2 linked regions of the Mytilus edulis genome follow. The protein of the gene in region 2 binds, or shares a complex with, the protein of the main gene of each other region. Links are inferred from orthologs where the notes say so. Each region holds a gene or a part of one and is shown on either strand. Other genes may lie near its edges.

Region 1 (8,944 bases), on a different chromosome or scaffold from region 2:
GAAGTTGTACCATTCAGAACTCGTACCACTGTAAACTCGTACAATTAAAAATATATTAAACAAGAGGCTGTCACAACGACAGCAAACCGGATTTATTAACATTTATTTGTGTCCTGGCAATATCACAAGAACCATTACTGATGAATGGTGAAAGTGAAAATCGTCAATATCAAATTTGACCTCCATTTTGTCATCAGTATCAACATATTAAAATTTGAAAAGCTTAGATTGAATGGTTCATGAGTAAATGCAACAACCTGAATGGAAACGCCATTTTACGATCTTTCAAGAACCATAACTCCTGAACGGTAAAAGTCAAAATCGTCATTATTGAACTTGACCTCTATTTTGTCATCAGTAACAACATATTAAAATTTCAAAAGCTTTGGTTGAATGGTTCATGAGAAAATGCACGGACACGACGGGAAAAACCATTTTTCAATCTTTCAAGAACCATAACTCCTGAACGGTAAAAGTCAAAATCGTCATTATTGAACTTGACCTCCATTTTGTCATCAGTAACAGCATATTAAAATTTCGGAAGCTTTGGTAGAACAGTTCATGCATAAATGCACGGACACGACTGGAAACTCCATTTTTCAATCTTTCAAGAACCATAACTCCTGAACGGTAAAAGTCAAATTCGTCATTATTGAACTTGACCTCCATTCTTTCATTAGTAACAACATATTAAAATTTGGGAAGCTTTGGTAGAACAGTTCATGCGTAAATGCACGGACAACTCCATTTTTCAATCTTTCAAGAACCATAACTCCTGAACGGTAAAAGTCAAAATCGCCATTATTGAACTTGACCTTCATTTAGTTGTCAGTAACAACATATTAAAATTTTAAAAGCTTTGGTTGAACGGTTCATGAGTTAATGCACGGACAACATTTGATTGCCGCCCGCCCGCCCGACTGCCCGACCGCCCGCCCGCCCGCCGTACATCCCCAAATCAATAACCGACATTTTTGTCACAAAAATCCGGTTAAAAATGAAAACTCAGACAAAAATAGAGAATGTTTTTTAAGCTTTATTGCTTAAACTGATCTTTCAAACTAGAACTTAATCCAGAAGAAAGTTAAAACATTGCTTTAACTGTACCCTAAGTTGAATATATATATCCAAATTAAATTAATTAAAGCTGTAAACCATGATCACAAATTGAATGCTATGTTACATTTCATTGTTATTTATAGACAGTAAGAATTTAATTTTGGAAATCATTTTGATTAACTGCTAAGATTTATTCATGAAAAATTAATATTTTCTTGGGGTAAAACTGATAATACTTTAATAATCTACATCTGCCACGGTATTTTCTATCCAATAGACAAGGAACATTAGCTACAAATTGGTCATTGTACTTTCAAATTATATACATTTAACAGACTTAAGAGGTATTGAGTGAAAGTAACGTATATCATGTATATAAAAAATTATATTCATCATTAAACACCATTTAAATGCATTTGAATAAGTTGGTACGAGTTAGCAGTGGTACGAGTTTGCATTGGTACAAGGTTTTTTTCAGTGGTACGAGTTGACGTTGGTACGAGTTTACAATGGTACGGGATAACTATAATTCCACTATAATAACCCATTCATTCATTTAGTTGGGTAGGTAGGGTAACTGGAACCACACATATATTTTTATTTGGCCATATATAATCAGTGATCGGGAAGGTCGTGCGCCCTGCGCCTATCGACCAGAAATGGCGCATAGAGTGACTTATGTAAGCCCCCATGTGGCGCACAATATTTTTCACTTCGTTTAGATATGTTTAGATATCGTCAAATGGATTTCCGATCGTGTTCCGTGCCGCCATGTGTGTGTACACAACTGTGTAATGTTCCTCCAATGATAGGAGCACCTATATATTTTTGGGACGTCTCGGTGTTTTCCTAGGCCCGTTTTCCTATGGAAATAATAGAACCATGGGGTGTAACTGATTACCCAAAAAAGTAATTAACCATCATTCATGATATGATTTTTTACAACCTTAAATTTGTAAAATTTGGCTAGTACAGACGAGATTTGTCTCTAATTATTATCTTTTAACTTAGTTCAGCTTGCTACTTTTTCGTTGAAAAACCCCAAAGTCTTTTTATGAATATAGTTTTTGTCTCCATAAAAGGCGACTAACTGTCCTTGTCACTTTTTGGTCTTTGGCTTGTTTTGACATTTTGTAAACATGCCTTCAGCGAATTGTTGTTTTGTTTTATCAATTAATGATACTCTCTACTATTATTGTTGTCATCGTGAAGAAGTAATAATAATACAAGAAGTGCAGAGGAAATGCCAAATACGTCCTCTAATACGGAACGTCAGGAATAAGTATGGTATCGACGAAGACCCAAATTTAGACTAGTGATTAATTTGTACTACTTAAATAGGTGATTATAAAAGAAGACAACTCTTACTTCCAACCTTAATGGCCATAATGTTACTTGAATCAGTGATTAGAAAATCACTCATTTAAGTACATTTAAGTCCCCTGACTGGTTTAACCTCGCCACATTCTGTATGTAAGTGCCTGTCCCAAGTCAGGAGCCTGTTATTCAGTAGTTGTTGTTTTTTGTACATAAATAAAGCTGTTTGTTTTCTCGTATGAATTGTATTACATTTGTGAGTGGGGCAAGACCTTTTTCAGGACGTGGACGTTGGGATCGGGTGTTTTTAAGTTTGGGATTTCTGGATTGATCCTTTCGGGATCTAGGAATTCTTTTTTTGAATTTCGGGATGTCAAGATTTAAATTTCTTTAAATTCGGGACCTCAGGTTTTCATATTTTAAAGCCCAGGATTTTGGGATCAGGAACCCTCCTCATTTGTTATTTGCCTTTTATAAATTATAGCTTAGCTGACTGTGGTATGGGCTTTGTTCATTGTTGAAGGCTGTGCGGCGACATTTAGTTGTAAATTTCTGTGTCATTTGGTATCTTGTGGAGAGTTGTCTCATTTGCAATCATACCACATCTTCTTTTTTATTTCATATATGTGATATAGTAATACTCAGTAAATTAGATTTAATTTGACTTTCAAACTGTGGCTTCTCTTCCTTCCATGAACTAGAGAGGACGGGTTTTGGTGTGAATAACTTGAGCCTTCTTGCTCGTAATGAACAACTGATGAAAGCTTTCATAAACACCTACTTTTTTTACTATTTACCTGGTAGTTTTTATATTTATATTTTGATTTTGGATATCCCGCTTCCGCTAATACATAAAATGGTAAATATTGAAGGAACAATTTGATTGGATATAACGGGGCACCTTGCAATATTTTATCCAATCAAATATTGTTTAACATCAAAAACGAAAGTAGAATATTTTAATCCGCCAATTACAAAATGAAAGTACAATTATGACAATTTGTTTTAGCATTAAAATTTATAGAATCATAGCTAAACCAAGAAATTAATTGAATCTTTTGTAGTGTGAATTATTGTAATTATGATCAGATAAACGATTGATGAAGTAGTTGACATCTATTGAACAGGGAACTATTTTTCAGTGCAACTGTGTCCGAAAGTGTTGTTAGGTCCGTTGCAGCGGCTGTTGTTGTGATTTGGTTATTAATATTATACATTAAGATGTCATCTTACAAAGTAACGAAAAATGCCTTTTTATGGGGCATGGCAGCAATATATTTGCTTGCATTTTCATCACTATATGTACAAATTCCTGGTAACTATCCGTTTGTTTACTCTTATTCAGATTTTAACATTTATAACCATAAAGTGATTTCCAATAGCTATACATAAATAACCCATTACTTATCTTTTAAATCTATTTATTTCAATTTGATTTATAAAAGTCCATCTTGAGTTCTATGTTCAGATTCTGTTGACCAATTCAAGCACATCATTTTAAAGACATTTATAGAAATGAAACTGAAAGAGTTATAAATATAAAAAAAACTTATTGAAACAGTATAACTGTGTTAAATATAGTTGGAAAGCAAGATTTATATTATGAATAACTAGGTAAATTTTAATCAGTTTCTAAACCGAAATCTAAAGCATTTTATACTTACAGAACAATGACCTTGAGCAATGTTCACCATCCTAATGAATACCTACTCTGTAATATCTTATAAATACTGAATGGTGACACATACAATAAATGATTGACTTCATTACTCCCTACATCTGTCATAAACTATTGAATCCAAACATCCCCCTGCTCAAATAATATTTACAACTTTTCTGACTTCTGATCAATTGAAAGTCTATATATCAAATATTTTTGTTTATATGCCATGTATGTTACTTAGTTGAGTCTGAGTACCATTTACTTTTCTAATATTGGAAAGAAATTATACTCTTTTCTAGGTGTTTACCTAAAGTTGTAGTTACTTTTTGCTTTACTCTGAAATAATTGAAATAAATGTTATAAATTTTGATTTTGATTCCAGAAATATTAAAACCTTTTTAACCAAATTTCTTTCATTCAAGGTTTATATGGTGACAATGGAATATTGCCAGCTAGATTAGCGGTTGGGAAAGGTAATTAAGTTCTATTTTTAAGATTTTTAAATTAGACTAAGGTTGTAGCATACATGTACTATTTATTACCAAACTATTGTAAAAGTACAACAGGATTCTTCTTCCATGATTGAAGTACAATTCTATTCATATGATACCAGGCCTGTCTCAGTTTGTTAACTGTTCATGCACTACTGCGATTCTTAAATTAAATTCTCTAATTAAAGGGTAAAGAATGAATTGAAAGTTGTATATATGTCACTGTATGTCATTGAGACAGCACCCCCTCCCCCCCCCCCCCCCCCAAAAAAAAAAAAAAAACAAAACCAAACACCAACAAACAAAACATGCATTTGTCCCCAATAGAAAAAAGTCATATCATACATCTAAACCTGAGTCAAGACATTGTGAATTATTAACACTCTACCAACACTACTTATGTGATTGCCAGTTCATTTAGTTCCTCTATCAAATCTGACCATTATTAACAATCTTATATTTTTAGCTGCAAAGTCATTTGCTGATTTGCTAGATGGACATCCAACTTTGCTGAGATTAATGCCAATGATTGGATTAGATACCGAGACTGGCCTTGATCTCCTTTGTATACTGGGTATACTGATCTCCTTTGCAGCACTTCTTTTCCAGGCAGCTAGAGATGTTTTTGCCTTTACTCTTTTGTGGATGTTATATTTGTCTATATACCAGGTAGGTTTACTTAGGATATCCCTTGATGTTTTATCGGTAATTTGTATATTTTCCTTTGATGTGTACTCACTGATAATGTCAGTATCAGTGGACTGGCCGTGATATAAAAATTATTGGGTTAGTACGCAATTGACATGCGCGAATACAACGCGTAAGGATCTACTTTCCCCTTTCATTCACAAAATTGCGCATGATTTTTTTCGCAGAAACGCACGAGATTTTTGGCGATGAAATACTTTACATTGTTTGAAACTTTCACAAAGTTAGTTTAGCCTTTTTGAACAATTGATGTCAAAATGTAAACAAAATATGCATGAAAAAGCCGATAGACTTTTAAAAAAAATGTGTTATCTATAATTGATATATTAAGTACATGACTAACATTATTATATCGTCCATGATGTTCCAATCCGAGTTTTTATGCATACAATACCAATACATAGCCGGGTGCTGTTCCAAGTAGTTTTCTTTTTCTGTTTTTTGAGAAGTATTTGTTTTACCTGTTCAGTCACTATAAAGTGTTGCAATTCATATTTAAACGCAACACATAAATAGTGACCAAAAAGGTACCGCTATCGCATGAGAGAAGCTAGAAAATAATGGTCAATTTAAAGACAGATATTCATAGAACAAAGAACAAAAAAGTGAACTTATTCATTTGCGGATCTACATGTAGGATAAATTTTAAAAAGGGGGGTAACCGGGGTCACCAAACTATACATGTATAAAGGTCTGCTTTGACCTGAATTGTAGCCTTTATAAGCTAAGAGGTGACTGACACGGGTCGCCTTCCCCTAAATTCACATAAGAAATTAAAGGTAACCACAGTGACTGTAAACTCAAATTTCATTTTTCTGGTCCGTGTTGAAAATAGATGAACAAGACTTTGACAAAAGCAAGAATTATATTAAGCTAAAAGTTTAGTGACGTCTATTAAAATGTTTGAAATAATTATGAAGAAGGCAAGAAATGAGCTTGTTCAGATAATTTACAAATAACTTTAACAGTCACTCAGCTCCTAAAATGTCTCCTCACATAGTCCAAATAATCATGACGAAAAAATATAATAAACTTTCAAGATGTCATAATTATTTGGACTACTCCTCAGTGCTTCCTTAAAATTATTTGAAATCAATGTGATCGTTTTCATGATGAACACTGAGCGAATAATGACAAGATAAATGTAATTTTATCCACTAAACTAAGTAAAATATAATTATAATAACTTGTCGTTGAACTTAAAAATGATGATCGATGAACAATTAATCTGCTGATTCATATCGTATCATTCTAATGTTCTGACTTACTATGCTCGAGGGGGGTCATGGATGCATGGATAGGACCTTTATCGGGACTCCGGGATCAGGTGTTTTTAAGCTCGTGATTTCGGGATGTCGGGATTTACTTTAATTTACTTTATATTCGGGACCTCGTGATTTCGTGTTTTTAAACGGGCCGGGATTTCGGGATCAGGAACCCTCCTATCCCCCTCTTTGTTGATGCTTTGTGAAAAATACAGAAATTTGACTTACCGGTATGCTACCATTATATTTGCCATCGTTAGAGTCATGTCCAAAGCAAAATATTAATGAAACACATGCAATAATTCCTTCAAATCTTTATACTTTGTGCAAGAGAACGCCATGTTTAATGTTTACTGCACTGTGACAAAATTTCAAATGACGTAATGCAGCCTGTGACGTCAAGTGTGATTCGCCGTGATCCGACGCGAAAAAGAAGTTTGTTTGTTATTTTCTCTATTATTGTAGTGATTTTTAATTTTTTTTTAAATTACCGATAAACAGAATAAAGGACTTTTTGTTTTTGATACTGACTTTATCACAAAAAATATCAGGCTCGCCCGAATTTGTCTATATACCAGGTAAGTGTACTTAGGATATCCCTTGATGTTATATTTGTCTATATACCAGATAGGTGTACTTAGGATATCCCTTGATGTTATATTTGTCTATATACCAGGTAGGTGTACTTAGGATATCCCTTGATGTTATATTTGTCTATATACCAGGTAGGTGTACTTTGGATATCCCTTGATGTTATATTTGTCTATATACCAGGTAGGTGTACTTTGGATATCCCTTGATGTACACATTATGTCTGTCTTCATGTGTACAATAAAAGTGTGTAATGAAGATTATTCTGTTGTTGATCTTATATCTGTAAACATAAGGGACGACGTCAAAAGTTCAATGTAGGATAAAAAACTTAATTCACATAGTTTTTTCACTGACACCCCCCCCCCCCCCCCCTCTTAACTTAATTTGGGAAAAATTGATTTACCTTTATGGATATATGTAAAATCAATTTTGGATTAACAAAACTAGCAGAAATGTTGACCCCCCACCCCCAAACTATTTGATTTAAGTTTTTTATCCTACATCGATCTTTTGATGTCGTCCCTAACAGGTACACTTCAAGTTGTCATGAAATTTGCCCTGTTGTGGACATTACATCTTTACCAAGTAGGTGTTATGGTGATTATTTTGTTGGGAGTTTGCTCTTGGTTGTTTGTTAACAAAGATTAAAAAAAAAGGATTGTTTTTTTGCAGATGATATTCTGACTACATACCAGGAAGGTTTCATTAAGATAATTCTGTTCTTGATGTTACATGTTTATCTGTATCTGTCTGTAGTTGTTATAAGGACTTCTCTGTTGATGACTCCACAGTAGATACAATGTACTGTGTTTGTACCATACTTAATAATCAGATATATTTAACTTCAGTTGAATTTTAAATTACTATATTCTTATAAACTGGATGAGATAAGTATTGTTTAAACTTTTGAAAAGTGAGATATTGTAAATGTACATGTACATGACTATTTAGTTATTATCTTACTTGATAATTTGAAAATTAACCTATAGTAAAGAATAAGATATTTTATTCACCAAATTTGGGCTGCAGGAGTGCATATATCACAGACACATACACAGTTTAATTATAAACAATCAAATATTCAATTGAATCTAGACAATAGGCATGTTAAAAAAAAAAGAAACATACACACACACACCAAAATAACAACAACAGTATTGAAAGGATTGTACATTAAGATACATTCTGAATTATTTTCAGAACAGATCTGAATGCATTGGAGATGCCAGTTAATAAATATATATTCTTTGTAATTTCAGGTTGGACAAACATTTATGTGGTTTCAGTGGTAAGTTACTGACATAAAATGAAATAAGACTTACAAATTGCATGCATCTGGAAATATTTTGAAAGAAATAGTTTTTATTCGAAATTACCAAACTCTTGAGAATGCTAAGCAAAATTCAGTCATCCATGATGCACAAATATTATATTATGAAGGAGAAAGACTCAATCAAGATGTATTAGATAATAAAAAACTTAGAAACAAACAATTTAGTAGTAAAAGTTACATGTATAAAAATTTAAAGTAAAAAGATGTGGTTTTATTGCCAATGAGACAACTCTCTACAAAAAAACAAATGACACAGAAATTAACAAGTATAGGTCACATGTATTTCATTACTTATCATTAAAATATGATGGTGCATTTTGTGTATATAATGTATAAATTGAAAAAAAGAATAATTTATTTTACAGGGATATTTTACTGTTGGAAGCAGGTTTTCTAACAATTTTGGTGGCACCATTAAATATTCAGCTACCAAAGAAGTACAAAATGTCTATACACCATGAGCATGACTCGATAACACTTTGGTTGGTTAAATGGCTACTGTTCAGACTGATGT
Region 2 (7,869 bases):
GTTCTTTGTATTTCAAAATTTGTGTCAATATTTTCAGGACAATGATGCACAAATAATTCATTTTGCGAGCTTAATATATCTTGCACAAAAAGAGTTTTAAATCAAAGAGCTGAAAGCTCTGAAGAAAAATGACGCCACTGTCTCTAATATAGGGATAGTTTTTATGCAAGTCTTGATTTTCACATACCGTAATTAGTTTAACAATGCAACATGTATCGTAAGCATATAATTGATATTCGTATATGTGTGTGTGTGTGAAGTGAAGGTGACAACTGGCTGGTTTTTTAAGACAAATGAATAGGTCAAGACTAGCTGAATTGTACAAATAAATACCGTAGAAAGGCTTGTATATTTCTCACTGGTACATAGTCTGAATCTGAGTCCGTTTGCTTCCATTCAAGTTTGCGCCCACTCATTTTCACCCCTTTCACTTTCACACCCTACATGTTCACACCCAATCTTAATTGGTTTTGTGTTTAATAACTATGTAAGCAAGTGTTTTCTTATAAGTATAATTGTTGTCATTGTCTCAAAATAAAGTGAGACAGCAATTTTTTTTTTTGTGTTGAATAAATCTTAATTATGTTTTGGATAAGGTATTGCTAAAAATAATAATAATCCTTTCTAAATAAAGTGGTATTTTGTCAACGTTTTATTTTGTGTTGAATAACTCTTAATCATGTTTTGGTTAGTGTATTGCTATAACTTGTTTCATTGACTTGTTTCAAAATGAAGTGAGATTCTGACTATGTTTGTTTCTGCGTGTTGAATAAATTTTATCATGTTTTGGTTATATTAGTGGATTGCTATATTTTGGTTTCTATGTTTTATTGTTTCGTTGTTTCAGATCAATGGGACCAAGCTGTTAAAAACAATTATCTTTTGTGTTTTTTCCTTTAAAATCTTCAATGTTTTACTCATACCAAGCTATAAATACATTCAGTATTTACACCAAAGCAATTTAAAACAACAACCATAATTTTCCAATTATTCAACTTGAATTTGAATTAAAATTGGGCATGAATGAGTAGAGTGTGAATGTGCGAACGTGTAGGGTGCGAAAATGTATTGGGCACAAACAGACCTGATGCCACACAGTCTGAACCCCCTTCTCCCACAAAATATTAAGTAAATAATCTTTTTGTTACTGCTATCAAAGGTCTAATGAAACTCAGATAGTTTCAAACATTTGTCAAAGAATTCTAGTCAAACTGGCACCTAGTTAAATTGGCACCTGAACGTCGTAGGAAGGCGTCCCAGAAAAATAATAAAATAGCCTTGCCAGACGTCATAATTATTTGGACTAATACATGAGATATTGTGTATTTTTCTGCATTATTTTAACCAGTTGAGCATTTTACAGGATTGTTGGTTTAATGCTGTTTAAACTTTACTGAAAAACAAACACCTTAAATTTGCTAATTATTTGGCATGAAAGTTTGATTTATTGAAAGGGACTCATAGTTTTCCATTTTATTTTAATAATTGACTTGTTTTTACAATTACACAAATTGTCTAAGTGTAATTGTCTAATTGTTAAAACAACAGCTTTGGTAAGGGCTTCGTTGTTTACCTTTATACACTACATATTCACTTTCGTTTCGTGGTTTACCGAAATACACAACAACATATTCACTATGTACTTGGTAACAGTAATTAATTAATTGAATAGAAAATATTATATCAAATATTATTGGATGCCGAATTGACGTCGAATAGGTGCCGATTTGACTAGATGCCAATTTAACCAGGTGCCGACTTGACTTGTACGTTTCAATTCCTCTGCGATCGTTTGCGGTATTTTCTTGAGAAAACCTATTTTCCATCATCAAAGAGAAGAAGAAACTGCTTTAAAATGATTCTGGAACGCTTCATGATTGTTAAAATAAGTTTAATTCACTCAAAAACAATTTTAAAACTTGCGATTAAACAGGAAGTTTCCAAAGCACGTGTAAAAGAAGAAATTAACCGGTGAGAGTGGAAATCCGTATATGACAGACATCCCTATAGTACGACTTTGAAAGTAAAACAGTTCAATCCTTTTGTAAAACAATCTTTAATATACCTATCACATTAATGTTTAAATGGTCTTAAGCTTATTCAAACCATATAAGTCGGTATGAAACACCAAAACGGAATGAACAATAACCGATTACGTTTTGTAGTTTACAAATTCTAAAACTGGTTCCCGTCAAACTACAACACTTTGTTCGAGTGTAGTGGAATACAAGCAAAAACCAGTGTAAACTGGGTCCTGGCTGGTTTAATACTACACAACGATGCATAATGATAACACAAGCAGGTTCCAGTTTGTTTGGAAAATAGGAAATACGAAACCAAGCGCGGTAGGCAGAGCAATGTAATGAAGTTCAGGTCGGCAGTTATGGAACAATGACTGCGTCATTTTCCAAAAACAAATTATAAGATAAATAGTATGTTCTAAAACACAAGGAAAAGTAATCTCATAATACAATAATTAAACGTAATACTGGCTGTTATTCATAATAGATGATAAAATATTATGTAAATAATGTTTCATTTTTTTCTATCAATTTAAACTTTCTTGTCGCTAAAATTATTTTCTTTTGCATATTCTTTTATTATTTATTGCAATAATTAATTTTAATTTAAAAAAAATGTTTTCTTGTCGCTTCTTGTCGCTAATTAGTAAGACCGCATTTTTTCATCAAAGTAATAGCTGACACATTTTCGTATCCAATCATTTATTAGCAATTTTATTATTGATTTTTGAAGATCATCCAATCACATTAACCGTTATAAAGTGGCTACACGTTAGTCGTTACGAGTCCAAAAACCATGAGGCATGCACGTTTACCAAAATATCGTAAACTCTGACCTTTTATCACTTGACCAATGTCTTGACCTTAGAAGCCATTAAATTGTTTGCCTTCCAACTGGACCAGGATAGAAATTATTTCTATTAAAATGCACCAATGAGAACAGTTGTGCCATACGGCCAAAAGATAGAGGATTAAAGATATCCACAGTACATCGTGTTAACATTCGTGTGAGCTTGTGTAAATTAAAATATTTGCTCATTAATGAAAAGAAACAAACTTACATGAGAAAGGTTTGTGATTCCTAGCAAGAAGCAAATAGAATCCAGAATATTTGATTTTCCACTGCCATTTAACCCTGTTATAGCGTTAAAAAGGGGATCAAATCCGTTGATTTCTGTTCTTTGAGCATACGACTTAAAGCCGTCTACGACCATAGATTTAATATGCATTGCCAAAAGTTGTAAATGTTGTTTTTAAATCATCTGTCTGTTTTCATTTCAAACTGGCGCTCAAAAATAATAATGTACGCGCATGACTGAACGGAAGTAAGACATTAATAATACGAATCAAAACAATTGACGGTTGTACTCGAGATACTATTTCCGGATAAAATATTTTCCAACCGTGCTGGATAGGAGGACCTTTTTCGGTTATATGGATTGAGCCGTTTGACAATTCGGAATAATTCAATTATAAAATTGCATGGACGTCATGATTTTATAACATCGTGATGTGGGAACAGACACATTATATTCACTAGCAATTGGGGACAGTGGCGGATCCAGAGGGGGGGTTCCGGGGGTCCGCACCCCCCCTTTATTTTGGCCGATCAATGCATTTGAATCGGGACATATGTTTGCACCCCCCCTGCACCCCCCCTTTGCCCTGGGCTAGCACCCCCCCTTTCGAAAATTCCTGCATCCGCCACTGGGGGAGCTGGCTTAATTTAGTTCAACTGACTATAGTATAATGATACATTTAGTGGCACTTAGACTTGCTACAATTCCCTTTCTAATATTTCTCTCTTACTAATTTATATGTTTACTGATAAGTGCCAGCCTACTGATTGCCCTTGGAGAAAGGGACTTGTATAATAACATTTTATACCGACCAGATACTGGTCGGTAAGAGGTTATTATTTCACATCTGCTGATAATAGATAATTAGACTGTCATGTGTATATATCCCATGCTGTTCTCCCATATTTTATCTCAAGTAGATTACAATTTCACTTTTCTTATGATTCTTACATCAAAATGGATACAGATGTCATATCTGCTGCAATAGATTTTGGATTACAAAAGTTGTCATTTACTGAAATCAAAATTAACCAGAGAAAAGTTGTAGAAAGCTTTTTGGCAGGCAAAGATGTATTTTTCTGTTCTCCAACTGGAAGTGGCAAATCACTAACTTTTGAAATAGCACCTTTTGTATTTAAATATTTACAGAAGAATGATATGTGTATTGTACTTGTTATTTCGCCTCTAACATCTTTAATGCGTACACAGACTCAATCATTGAATAGAAAAGGGATTAAAGCAGTATATTTGAAGGACATTACCTCACCATCGAATTTTGAAGACAGCCTAACAAATCTTTCCTTAGTAGATGTAAAGGATGGCAAAATTGACATTATTTTCTCCAGTCCAGAGTCACTTATTGGACATGAAAGAAAATTACTATTGGATTTGGCAAAGAAAAAATTTATCAAGACAGTATTTGTAGATGAAGCTCACTGCATAAAAAAGTTGTAAGTATTTATTTTTGTACATATAATAATGTATAATACTAAAGTAGAAAAACAAATCATCTGAATCGCTCTAACATAAGCTATAACATACATAAGAATAAATATGTATATCTTAAAAACAGTACATGCATACAAAAGAACATCATATATTTATAAATGTATATATATCTGTACATGCAATAACTATTTAATGTTTATTTATTCAAAACATTCTCATTTAATTTTACTTTTAATAATTAATCACCTTTTTATTTGAATATTTCTGTTATTATTATGAAAGATTATTCTGCCAATGGTATCCAAATTAAAAACTTTCAATTCATATTGTGATGTTTTGAAAGATGTATGAAATATTTGCTACTGGACTGTTGGATATCTACAATAATTAAGATTTTATAAATATGTTTTCTATGGTACTTACATAATTTTTCTTATGAAATACTTCGTTGTAATGCTTAGGCATTTTTATGAGACCTATGCAGATTTATATTGCAATATGATTAATTAATTTTAATTTTTTCAGTGGGCTTCCAGATAAAAAGAAGAAGAAATTGGCATATAGACCATGTTATGGCCGACTTGACGAAATTCGTTCACTTGTTGGGGGTCATGTACCAGTAGTGGCTCTAACAGCAACAGCTACAGAGGAAACCAAAGCTGTCATTAAAAAGCAACTTTGTATGGATAACTGCACTGAGATTATGGTAAATCCCGACAAAAAGAATGTAACATACTGGGTACATAATTTACCTTCAGATGATATTTGCACCAATTTTAGATGGTTAGTAAATTTATTAAGAGGATATAAGCAGGCCACTTCAAGGATGATTATATTCTTTAGGCAAATCAAACACATGGCAGACGTATATGAATATCTTGAAACATCCCTTAAGCATGATGCTTACATAGACTTCAAAGAGGGAGGACCAAATGATAACAGAAATCGCCTTTTTGACATGTTCCACATGAAAACCGATGATGACGTAAAAGATTTTATTTGTACATCCTACATGAATCCAAACGGTAATATTAGAGTTGTTCTATGTTCAACATCCTTTAGCATGGGTCTAGATGTAAAAGGTGTGGATACAGTTATACATTATGGTCCAGCTAATGATGTTGATGACTATGTACAAGAATCTGGTCGTGCTGGTAGGGAACCTTCACAACAATGCAATGCTATTCTACTAACTTACAAAAGATGTTTAGGAAGTCAAAATATATTCCCATCTATGAAAGAATATGTTAAATCTAAAACCTGTAGACGGGCGTTTATTCTAAATATATTTAAAACAATTGTTGAACATGCACATATACCTCACTTTTGTTGTGATATTTGTCGTCTCTCGTGCAAATGTGCATGCAGTTGTGAAGATGAATGTGTATGTACAAACACTTGCAATCAAGTTCTCCCTAAAATAAACACAGCTATTATGTCAAATGAGGACAATGATGATAGTGATGATAACGATGACAATGACATTACAGAACTGGATGATATGTTTTCAAGTGATAGTGACAGTGATGTTTTAGAATCGTCAACAAGAAAACCACAAGTCATTTACAGTTCAGATGATGAAATGTTTTGAAACAATAAAATTGTTCTGCTAATAGAAATGTTTATTTTGAAACTTTTTTAAACTAGCACCAATCCAGTCTCTAACAAACTCCATGTCTAGCTCTGTAAGGGGATTTTCCTTCATGTTTGGATAGGCATAATGTGATCGGCCAGGAATGAAATCGAATAAATTACATGCCTGGAATTGTCTGACCAAAGTTATAATGTCAATTTCCTTGTCACATGTTTTATGTCGTCCTGATGGAACATGCACGTTGCACATTTTGTCAAACTGTTTGATAATTTCGTGGACTTTCATAGCACTCTTACTGACTCTCGAAACCACTTTCTCAGTAAAAACACCTCTGTAACTATGGGCAGAATCTTTAAATACCTTATTACAATGTTCTACATCTAAATCATTAGGATGATTTGTGTTTGCGTCCCCCTTATGTTTTACAGTTCTGTTCCATATCAGTCTGTGTGCCTGGCGTTCTGTTAACAGAACTTCAGTTTGGGCTATAGTTTCCAAAGTACCAAAGGCGTATTTTGTACAATGACAATATTTATAATACAAAACAAGGAACTGGTCAATTCTCAACATCCTTGATCCATCACCCATATGAATTGCATCGTTGTGATCCATTCGTAATAAACCCAATGTTAAAACCAACTTTGTATATGCACTAACTCCATCAGATTCATTTTCGTTATCCTTGCCACTTGATACTTTTTCCTTAGCAAAAAGGGGGTCATAATGACCATGAATGGAGGATTCGTGTTTTCTGAGGGAATGTGGTTGTTTGTACTTTTTTCCACAGTATCTACAATTATACGTATTGCAATTTGGCCCATATTCTGGAAGTTTTGGTATTTCTGGCAATGTGAATGTCTTAACAAACGAGCGTGCCTGATCAAAAATATATTTTTTCATTTCATTTGTATTCCCAACTGCACCCTCATACACATTTTTACAGGGTAAAGAGTCTATACTTTCCATTCCAAAATGAGTAAGACCACCTGTTATAATATATGCTGTGGTAACTTTCTCAACAAGATCAGAAGCTGCATAAAAATCATCAGCCGGATCTTGGGTAACATTTCTTGCATTTATGGTATTGCGTGCTGCATACAGAGTTCCCTGGTCTCTAGCTGACGAGGTTGAGTAGAGCAACTTCCAAATGACCTGAAATTGAAACAATCAGACAGATTACGGGTTTAACAATGAAAAAATATGCATTTCTCAAAAAATAAAAGTGTTTTTCTGAAAAAATATATTCAAAATAAATATCAACTTACAACTTAATCTATTTCAAATTATCTTTCTTATGTAGATATAAAAAAGAAGATGTGGTATGATTACCAATAAGACAACTGTCAACAAGAGACCAAAATGACACAGACATTAACAACTATAGGTCACTGTACGGCCTTCAACAATGAGCAAAGCCCATACCGCATTGTCAGCTATAAAAGGCCCCGTATTGACAATGTAAAACAAAACACATATGTAACACATAAACAAACGACAACCACTAAATTACAGGCTCCTGACTTGGGACAGGCACATACATAAATAATGTGGCGGGGTTAAACATGTAAGCGGGATCCCATCCCTCCCCCTAACCTGGGACAGTGGTATAACAGTACAACATAAGAACAAACTATAAAAATCAGTTGAAAAAGGCTTAACTCATCAGATGGAAAAAATACAATTAGACGTGGCCAGGTACTTGTACATCCCGACAACAAAAAGACCC

What was found.
Region 1: the proteins of structural maintenance of chromosomes protein 2-like (region 2) and condensin-2 complex subunit H2-like are in contact, whole or in part, in a cryo-EM structure (PDB 9F5W), measured with the Homo sapiens proteins. The link is inferred for Mytilus edulis from reciprocal best matches to the Homo sapiens genes SMC2 and NCAPH2. Residues at the interface, in NP_001036015.1 of Homo sapiens: Leu93, Thr125, Gln128, Asp129, Cys132, Gly135, Leu136, Asn137, Met173, Tyr174, Lys177, Lys178; in NP_689512.2 of Homo sapiens: Glu46, Phe53, Ile54, Glu55, Leu58, Leu59, Gly62, Ser63, Ala64, Cys65, Val66, Lys69, Tyr73.

The regions. Positions count from the first base shown.
Region 1 is NC_092350.1:23,511,600-23,520,543, reverse strand, and holds the start of condensin-2 complex subunit H2-like, read right to left. Parts: upstream 3,253-8,944; 5' UTR 3,174-3,252; exon of another isoform or gene 3,158-3,173; intron 1-3,157. Other genes in the region: lipase maturation factor 2-like, read left to right, coding at 3,598-3,691, 4,462-4,512, 4,997-5,199, 8,357-8,385, 8,796-8,944. UniProt on the Homo sapiens protein: Regulatory subunit of the condensin-2 complex, a complex that seems to provide chromosomes with an additional level of organization and rigidity and in establishing mitotic chromosome architecture.
Region 2 is NC_092344.1:125,107,274-125,115,142, forward strand, and holds the start of structural maintenance of chromosomes protein 2-like, read right to left. Parts: upstream 3,341-7,869; 5' UTR 3,251-3,340; coding exon 3,083-3,250; intron 1-3,082. Other genes in the region: probable ATP-dependent DNA helicase RecS, read left to right, coding at 4,058-4,551, 5,075-6,140; uncharacterized protein, read right to left, coding at 6,159-7,295. UniProt on the Homo sapiens protein: Central component of the condensin complex, a complex required for conversion of interphase chromatin into mitotic-like condense chromosomes.